Arabidopsis thaliana: one gene and its partner. The protein of the gene in region 2 purifies or fractionates together with the protein of the main gene of each other region. This does not show direct contact. Each region holds a gene or a part of one and is shown on either strand. Other genes may lie near its edges.

Region 1 (3,752 bases), on a different chromosome or scaffold from region 2:
GTCGAAACCAGAGAAAAGGCAACGCAAAGATTCCTTTTTTCGAAGCTTAACGACAACCCACCTTCCATCTGATTTAAGTAAAGTTAAAAGTCACTAATTTAATATTATTGAACGACCGAAACAAGTATGTTGATGACTTTGTTCTCCTTTAAATTATCATCACTTCATTTCTCAGAGATTTACGCACACAGAGTTCTCTTCTTCGTCCTAGTTTCTTCTATTCCAGGTAAATGAAATAAGATTCGATCAAAACCCAGATGGATTTTGAAATAGTTTTCTTGTGAATTGAATGAAAAGTGTGTATCTTTCCTTCTGGGTTTTGATTGATTGACTGAGAATATATATGATCACTTTATCTAGACTAATCTCGATTTGTCTTTTGCTTTCTGTGTTTGAGTAATTTCTCGTAAATCTCATATAATCAAATCCCCAGATTACTTGTTTTGATCATAATTCTTGATTCAGGTGAGAAGAAAAAATGGCGTTTGTGACCACTGCGGAAGTGTGTGACGCGAATCAAGAGATGATTCGAAGTGGCCAGCTCCGAGCTCTGCAACCCGTTTTTCAGATTTATGGTCGTCGTCAAATATTTTCAGGTCCAGTAGTTACTGTTAAAGTCTTTGAAGACAATGGCTTAATCCGTCACTTCCTCGAAGAGAAAGGTATTAATGATTCTTGCTTATAAAATTCAAAAGACTGAAACTTTACTCGTAGAGCTATGAACTTTCAGAGTATCTTTGACATGGTTTATTGGTATTGTTACATTTTAGATTCAATTCTTGTGTTACTTACTTGTCAAATAGTTTCAATTGTTCTTTGCTTGAAACTATGTTTGAAGAAGTCTTAAGATCATCTCTCTATGATTTAGAACTACTGCTCAGTGTTTATATACTTCTTCAGTCACTTTGCTAATCAAGTTCTTGAATACTAGAGACGAGATAGGTCTTTCAAAAACCCGAGTCAATAAACCAATCTGTTCTCTGTAGCATTCACATCAAAAGCTCAATAATGTTTTAAATGTTAAAACAGGCAATGGTAGAGTTCTTGTGGTGGATGGTGGAGGGAGTTTACGCTGTGCGATACTAGGAGGAAACCCGGTCGTACAAGCGCAGAACAACGGATGGGCAGGGATCATAGTGAATGGATGCATCAGAGACGTTGATGAGATCAATGGTTGCGACATTGGAGTGAGAGCTTTAGCTTCTCATCCAATAAAGGCTAGTAAGAAAGGACTTGGTGAACAAAGAGTCTCTTTGAACATTGCAGGCACTCGGATATGCGATGGCGAATGGCTTTATGCAGATACTGATGGTATCCTTGTTTCTCAGATTGAATTATCCGTTTAAAAGGACACAAGTGATGTTGTTGATTTGTTAAAATCTGTAAGCTACTACTTTTGTGCTTTGTGTTTCTGTAATGGCTATCAGAGTAAAAGTTGGCTTCTTTGAATATGATTATTGAACTATTGAATCCGTTTCGAGTTGATAAAAAAAAACATTTCGTAAAGTGAAAATTGCAAAAAGATCCTTGAAGTATCCATACAAGCATTTTTCGTAGATCAATTTCCAATAACTGGATACTTCGAGGGTCATTTTGCAGTTTACCAATTTTCTAAATCCGCCTTCTTGCAATTTCACAGTGCTTCGTTTTAGGTCAAACACAACGAAAGACAGAAAACCCTAATCACTCCGGCTTCAGCTCTGTGTGTGATAATGGCGGCGGAGAGATCGTCCATCACTCTCGGAGGGAAAGGTTCTTCTTTATCTTCTTCCTCCGTTTACAATGTTGCTTCCGGCGTCGCTAATGTTCGAATTGACTCTTCTGCGATCGAGAGATTCTCCACTAGAAACGTTCCATCGATCAAAAGGAGCTCCTTTGGTATCCCTCAAGGGTTAACGAACGAAGAAACTCGAGCTTCTCTGGCTGTTCTCTTAAACAAGCTTATTTTGTCGACTTCTGGTCCTCCTTCTTCATCCACCGCTCGTTCTGTTCTTCCGCTTAAGATTGTTGAGATTCTGAATTTGAAGGCTGAGAGTTTGGAATTGGGTGAGATTGATGTGACAGAAGGGGAAAACATTGTGTTGGAGAAGTCGTGTGCTTCGTTGATTGGGATTTGTTCTATTATAGATCACAAATCGACGACTCTTTCACAGATTGTGGATTCTGTTGCTGCGTTGAGTTGTGAGGTTACAAAGGCTGATATAGCTTCGTTTAGCTTGTTGGATTCAGGAGATGGGAATGGTGATAAAGATGTGATTGGTGTTGCTGGTGATCTCAAGGTTTTGCTTAACGGGTATAAAGGTACAGGGAAATTAGAAATAGAAGAGATTTCGAAAATCCCTTGGATTCATGGGAAATTCAGGTATGTGGTGAAAAGCGTGCACGCGGATGCTAGGAGAGAATTGAATTCCGGTGTTAAAGGAGGCAAAACTGGGTCTGGAAACACTGGGATTGGTGAGGCTTTAGGAACAACATTGTTACCTTTGTTAACGGCGATTAAAAACTTGGGAGTGTGTTCGTTCCTTCGTGCTAAGCTTTGTTTTGAGAAGATTGTGGATGAGAATCTGAAGAAATGTTTATCTGAAAAGATCTGTGTTGAGAATGAGAATCTAAAGAATAGCTATAAGTTAGCTTATACTGCTCATTTGGAAGAGGATTACTGCAGGTTTGCTCACAAACTGAATGAGTGTCTGGGAATTGTATGGAGAATTGTTGGTTTGGAGGCAGTTGCTGCCTTTTTTGCTCTTGCTGGTGGAGAATTGTTTGTTCAGAAGAGCGGAGATGCGGACAAAGAAGAGTCGAAGACCGATAAGAAAAAGAAGAAGAATGAGAAAAAAGCAGTTGTGGGAAAGGGGACAAGCCTAGTTATCCAGTTTATCAAAGATAGATTGGTGAGTAATGACGCAGCAAGTGATGGTGACCAGATGCATTCATTGATGCAATGTGGGGAGCAAATCTTAAATCTTTTCAACCCAGAGGGTCGCAGTTTTGATAGCTTGTTGGATAAAGTGAAAGAGATTGTAGAAAGTAATGAAAATAGGAGACTTCCCAAGCTTCCAAAGGTAAATTACAATCTCGTATATGGAGAAGGTTTAGGCCTCAGAGTTAATTTCTGATTTGTTTCATTCTATGACAGGGAACTCGAGATTTCGCTAAAGAACAAATGGCAGTCCGAGAAAAAGCCTTTTCAATCATACAAAACGTTTTCAAGAGGCATGGTGCAACTGCACTTGATACTCCTGTTTTTGAATTGAGAGAGACCCTTATGGGAAAGTACGGAGAAGACTCGAAATTGGTTTATGATATTGCTGATCAGGTAGAACTCTTCTTGGCTGCTGTAATATCATCAGTTTATGTGATGATTTGTTTGTCAAAATTTGAGCTCATATGGATCTATTAATTGCAGGGTGGAGAGCTTTGCTCTTTACGATATGATCTAACTGTTCCATTTGCACGGTATGTGGCTATGAATGGAATCACATCATTCAAAAGATACCAAATAGCAAAGGTGTACAGAAGGGATAATCCATCTAAAGGGAGATACAGAGAGTTTTATCAGTGTGATTTTGATATCGCTGGTTTGTTCGAACCAATGGGACCCGATTTTGAAATTGTCAAGATATTAACTGAACTCCTCGATGAGTTAGAAATAGGAGATTATGAGGTAATAACTTAAGTTGAAAGTCTTAATCTTTCCTGGTTGGTTTTTTCTTTGGCTATGTTCTTAATTCTGGTTTGTTTAAATAGGTGAA
Region 2 (3,752 bases):
ACAGCGTAGCTGCCATAAATAATTAAGATATTTTGAGTACCTTCAGCTGCTTCTGATCAGGATAAGATATCCCATAAACTCTCTGCAAGCTCTCACGGTCTTTGTCACCCTTCCAGTAAGCTGATGAGGCCTGAGAAAAATATATTGGTCAGCATAAGAAAACAAACTAGAATCTGTAGAGATGTAGCTCCTAGAGATACAGTAGCAAATCACCCTCAAACACTTGAACGCTTTCACAAAGGAAGTATTTGGTATGTGCGGTCCACGACACAAATCCACCAAAGGGCCACATCTGTAGACAGTAATGGTCATGTCTGCAGGCAAACCATTGATGAGTTCAACCTACATGATTAACAGCAGAATAATGAGTCCAAACAACAACTTCATAGAGGACAGAAATGAATGTAAGGTTAGGTGAGCATAACACAATCCAATGATATTTATACACAGCTTAACCCACCTTAAAATTATTCTCAGAAAACATCTCGAGTGCCTGATCCTTCGTCACTTCAATCCTTTCAAATGGTTGTGCTTCCTGAGATGCAAATAGAAGCGAATCAAACCAATAGAAACTATGGCTAAGAGTTGGGAGACATATATCAATCATTTTTCACTAAAAAGGTTTGACAAAATAAGCAAATATTTTATAACATACATTGTAAGAAACCTTAAAAGTAATCGAATCAAAAAGAAGAAACAACACCTTAGCAGCTTTTGCAGCACCTGCTTCGATGCTAGGAAAGTGGTTGTCACTCAGGCCCAATTCACCATAAAATCCATCATAGTAGAAACCCTGCAATAACAAATCCATTACTAACATCAGCGATAGCTTATTTACACACAACACTTCATTAAAATACCAAGAAACACCCAAACAGAGAAACCAAACTTCACAAATGATGGAACATGATATACAAACAAGTAACAATTAGCACAAACAAGCTCCTCTTACCTCTCCTCTCGTTGTGCATGGTCCAATGCACAGCTGACACCCATACTCCTGCTCGAGAGCCTGCACCAAGATCAACCCACAACCACAGTAAACAACTCGTTCGTTCACCACAACCAAAACTTTCACAAATCAGATAAGATCAAAACTCCTTTACCTGACCAAGAATGTGCGCACTAGAATGCCAAAGAGTATCACGACCTTTATCGCTATCAAATTTGAAAAGCTCAAGCTTACAATCACCTTCCAATGGCCTATTCATATCCCAAAGAACATCATCAACAGCCGAAATCAACGCAGAATTAGCCAAACCCTTAGAAATCTGAGCAGCGATATCCATCGGAGTTGTCTCCCACTTCTTTCCTTCTTTCACATTTCCATCTGGTAACGTAACCCTAAACACACACAACACCAGAAAATCGAAGTCAATCTTCAAGGAAACAAAGTAAAACCTTATAAACTACAAATCACACTGATACATAAGAACATCGGCATCGTATTTACTTGATCGGATCGTGTGGAAGAGACTTAAGATTCTCGAGTTGATTCGCTTGGATCTGCTCGAAAAGCTTGATACGTTTGGGGATGACGGCGGAGAGATACGCTTCATCCTTAGGATGATTAGCTGCCATTGTTGGAACAGTACAAAACGAAGACGATGAGAGCAATGGTAGAGACGAAGAAGAAGTTGTGAAACGACGAATAGAGCGAGCCGTAAGACGAAGGAGCATCAAAATTTGTTGTCAAAGGTTTATGTTATCTGAGTGTGACTAGGGTTTTTTTTTTCTTCGTCAGGGGTGAAAGAAAACAAAATCGAACCAAACCGACCAAAAATTGGGTGATTTCGGTTTGCTGGTTTTTGAAATCGATTGTTAAATTATCTCGTTAATTCTCGGTTTAGAAAAATAACTAAGGTTTAGCCAGTTTAGTACTTTTTGTTTAGAGTAGTAATGGTGGAAGTGGAATACTTCTTGAATTTTTCACACCAAAGTCAATTTTTTTCTTTACTTTATATAAAGAATTTATACACTGAAAGTGAAACTACTATACAAATATTTCAATGTAAAAGCTCCAAATCAATTTGAGAGAGGGTCGAAGGAGAAGAGTCGTCTTTGTTCATCAGTGGGATTTCTCAGCAATCTGCAGAATATCAATGAGGCCGCAACAACTGATAAAAGAGACAGAACCGCGAGAAACCCGAAATGGGAAGCGTCATTCGCCGCTATGGCTACTCCGAGCATAAGCGATTCAGCTAGACTTGCCACTGAGATCTCCGTTGCGCCGATGAGATTAGCCTTGGATGATGGAATGCCGGTTTGAAGTATTTGAGCTCCCACAACGCCGTAAGACATGTGACCTAGCCTTGATAATACCTGCATTTGTTTGTTACCTTTTAGTCAACACCAAAACCGCATATTACTGGTCGAGAGAGAGAGTGAAGAAACAACTTACGATCATGGACAAGAAGAAGAAGAGTGGGCTTTTATGGGATAGAGAAGAGCTACAATACACAGCAACAGCAACGGCAAGGAGTGAAGCTTGGAAAAACAATCCTACTGCACCCGCCTGCATCGTTTTAAAACGCAAACGCAATAACATTAATCAGCTTGAACGCAATACAAGCTCAAGATAACAAATGGCGGGAAAACATTTCACCTTTAAAATGCCAACTCGTTTGACCAAGTTTGCTGATAAGAAGGTTGCGGCGACGCCCATAACAGCGCATAATCCACTGAAACCACCAATAACTGATGGATTCACACCTGTTGAAAAAAGACAGATTGGTGACTAATTTGAAAGAGTAATAGGTAATAGCACAAAGACTCTCGCAAGATTAATTACGATTTTCATCCAAGCACTAAAGAAAAGTAAGGGACCGAGTCGAAGTAGCATACATCGTTGTGTTAGAAATGCAGTCATCAAGCTGCCTGGGGTGAGGACGATGTTAAAGTAGAGAAGGACATATGCGAGGCTAGCAGGAAGAACTGGCTGTTGAATATATTCTTTCCATCCGAGCTTGATAGTTTCCATGCCAATATCAACTGATGAACAAAGCAAATGGTATTTTGTGATGTCTACTACATGCTCAAATCATAAATTATGCGTATCCAAGTAGTATAAAGTAAAAGGTTTCCTTACAAATACTGTCGGTATTAGTACGAGATCCTTCAGCAGAACAGCTGTTCAAGGAGCATTTAGGACGGTCCAGAACTCCAGAGGAGAACTTGTTGGTCAGCCATATAAGAGCTGTCTGAAGAAAACAGATTTCTTCTATTAGAAGTGCAAGATGGTAAGAAGTCCCATATAAATTGGTAAAGCGCAAGTGGAATTGCTTCTAGGATCTGAAGCAGAACAGTATCACTCCAATGTTGATGACAGCTTATTTATCTAGTTAAAAGAACTAATAATACTCCATCTAGGCTAAGCTCCAATTATCCAAAACCTAAACGAGAAAGACTGCCTTTTTAATTGAAGAAAAAAGAATTCGAAACTTGAAACATAGGAAACAGGAATGATTCTATTACACATAGTTCAGCCTCGTACAACACAGCAGCTTTGTGTTTCCCTTATTTAGCTTGGACGAAAGAAGAATAACCACAAGTTTATAGGTGCTACTTACCATGGTTGGCAAAGAACCCACCATTAGTGTGGCAGCAAACTTTAAGCAGGTCACAGGGTCATATTTGGATAGGAGAATGCCAAATAACATCGTCCCAGCTATCTATTTAAGGTTACAATTATGTCAATTGATGAATTACTGGAGTTCAAAAGTTCAAAGGGCATAAAGTACATAGATTCCATA

Evidence for each region. Proteins that work in one complex are often made in the same cells at the same time.
Region 1: the proteins of AT5G26830 (region 2) and AT3G02760 fractionate together in Arabidopsis thaliana (co-fractionation; one large-scale study listed by BioGRID). This does not show direct contact.

What each region holds. Positions count from the first base shown.
Region 1 is NC_003074.8:598,611-602,362, reverse strand, and holds the start of AT3G02760 (Class II aaRS and biotin synthetases superfamily protein), read left to right. Parts: upstream 1-1,579; 5' UTR 1,580-1,712; coding exon 1,713-3,062; intron 3,063-3,136; coding exon 3,137-3,316; intron 3,317-3,406; coding exon 3,407-3,664; intron 3,665-3,747; coding exon 3,748-3,752. Other genes in the region: AT3G02770 (Ribonuclease E inhibitor RraA/Dimethylmenaquinone methyltransferase), read left to right, coding at 479-662, 1,030-1,346.
Region 2 is NC_003076.8:9,435,279-9,439,030, reverse strand, and holds the start of AT5G26830 (Threonyl-tRNA synthetase), read right to left. Parts: upstream 1,845-3,752; 5' UTR 1,681-1,844; coding exon 1,454-1,680; intron 1,345-1,453; coding exon 1,107-1,344; intron 1,013-1,106; coding exon 953-1,012; intron 794-952; coding exon 704-793; intron 536-703; coding exon 461-535; intron 343-460; coding exon 214-342; intron 131-213; coding exon 41-130; intron 1-40. Other genes in the region: IREG3 (iron-regulated protein 3), read right to left, coding at 2,026-2,322, 2,402-2,515, 2,606-2,712, 2,845-2,991, 3,089-3,200, 3,570-3,671.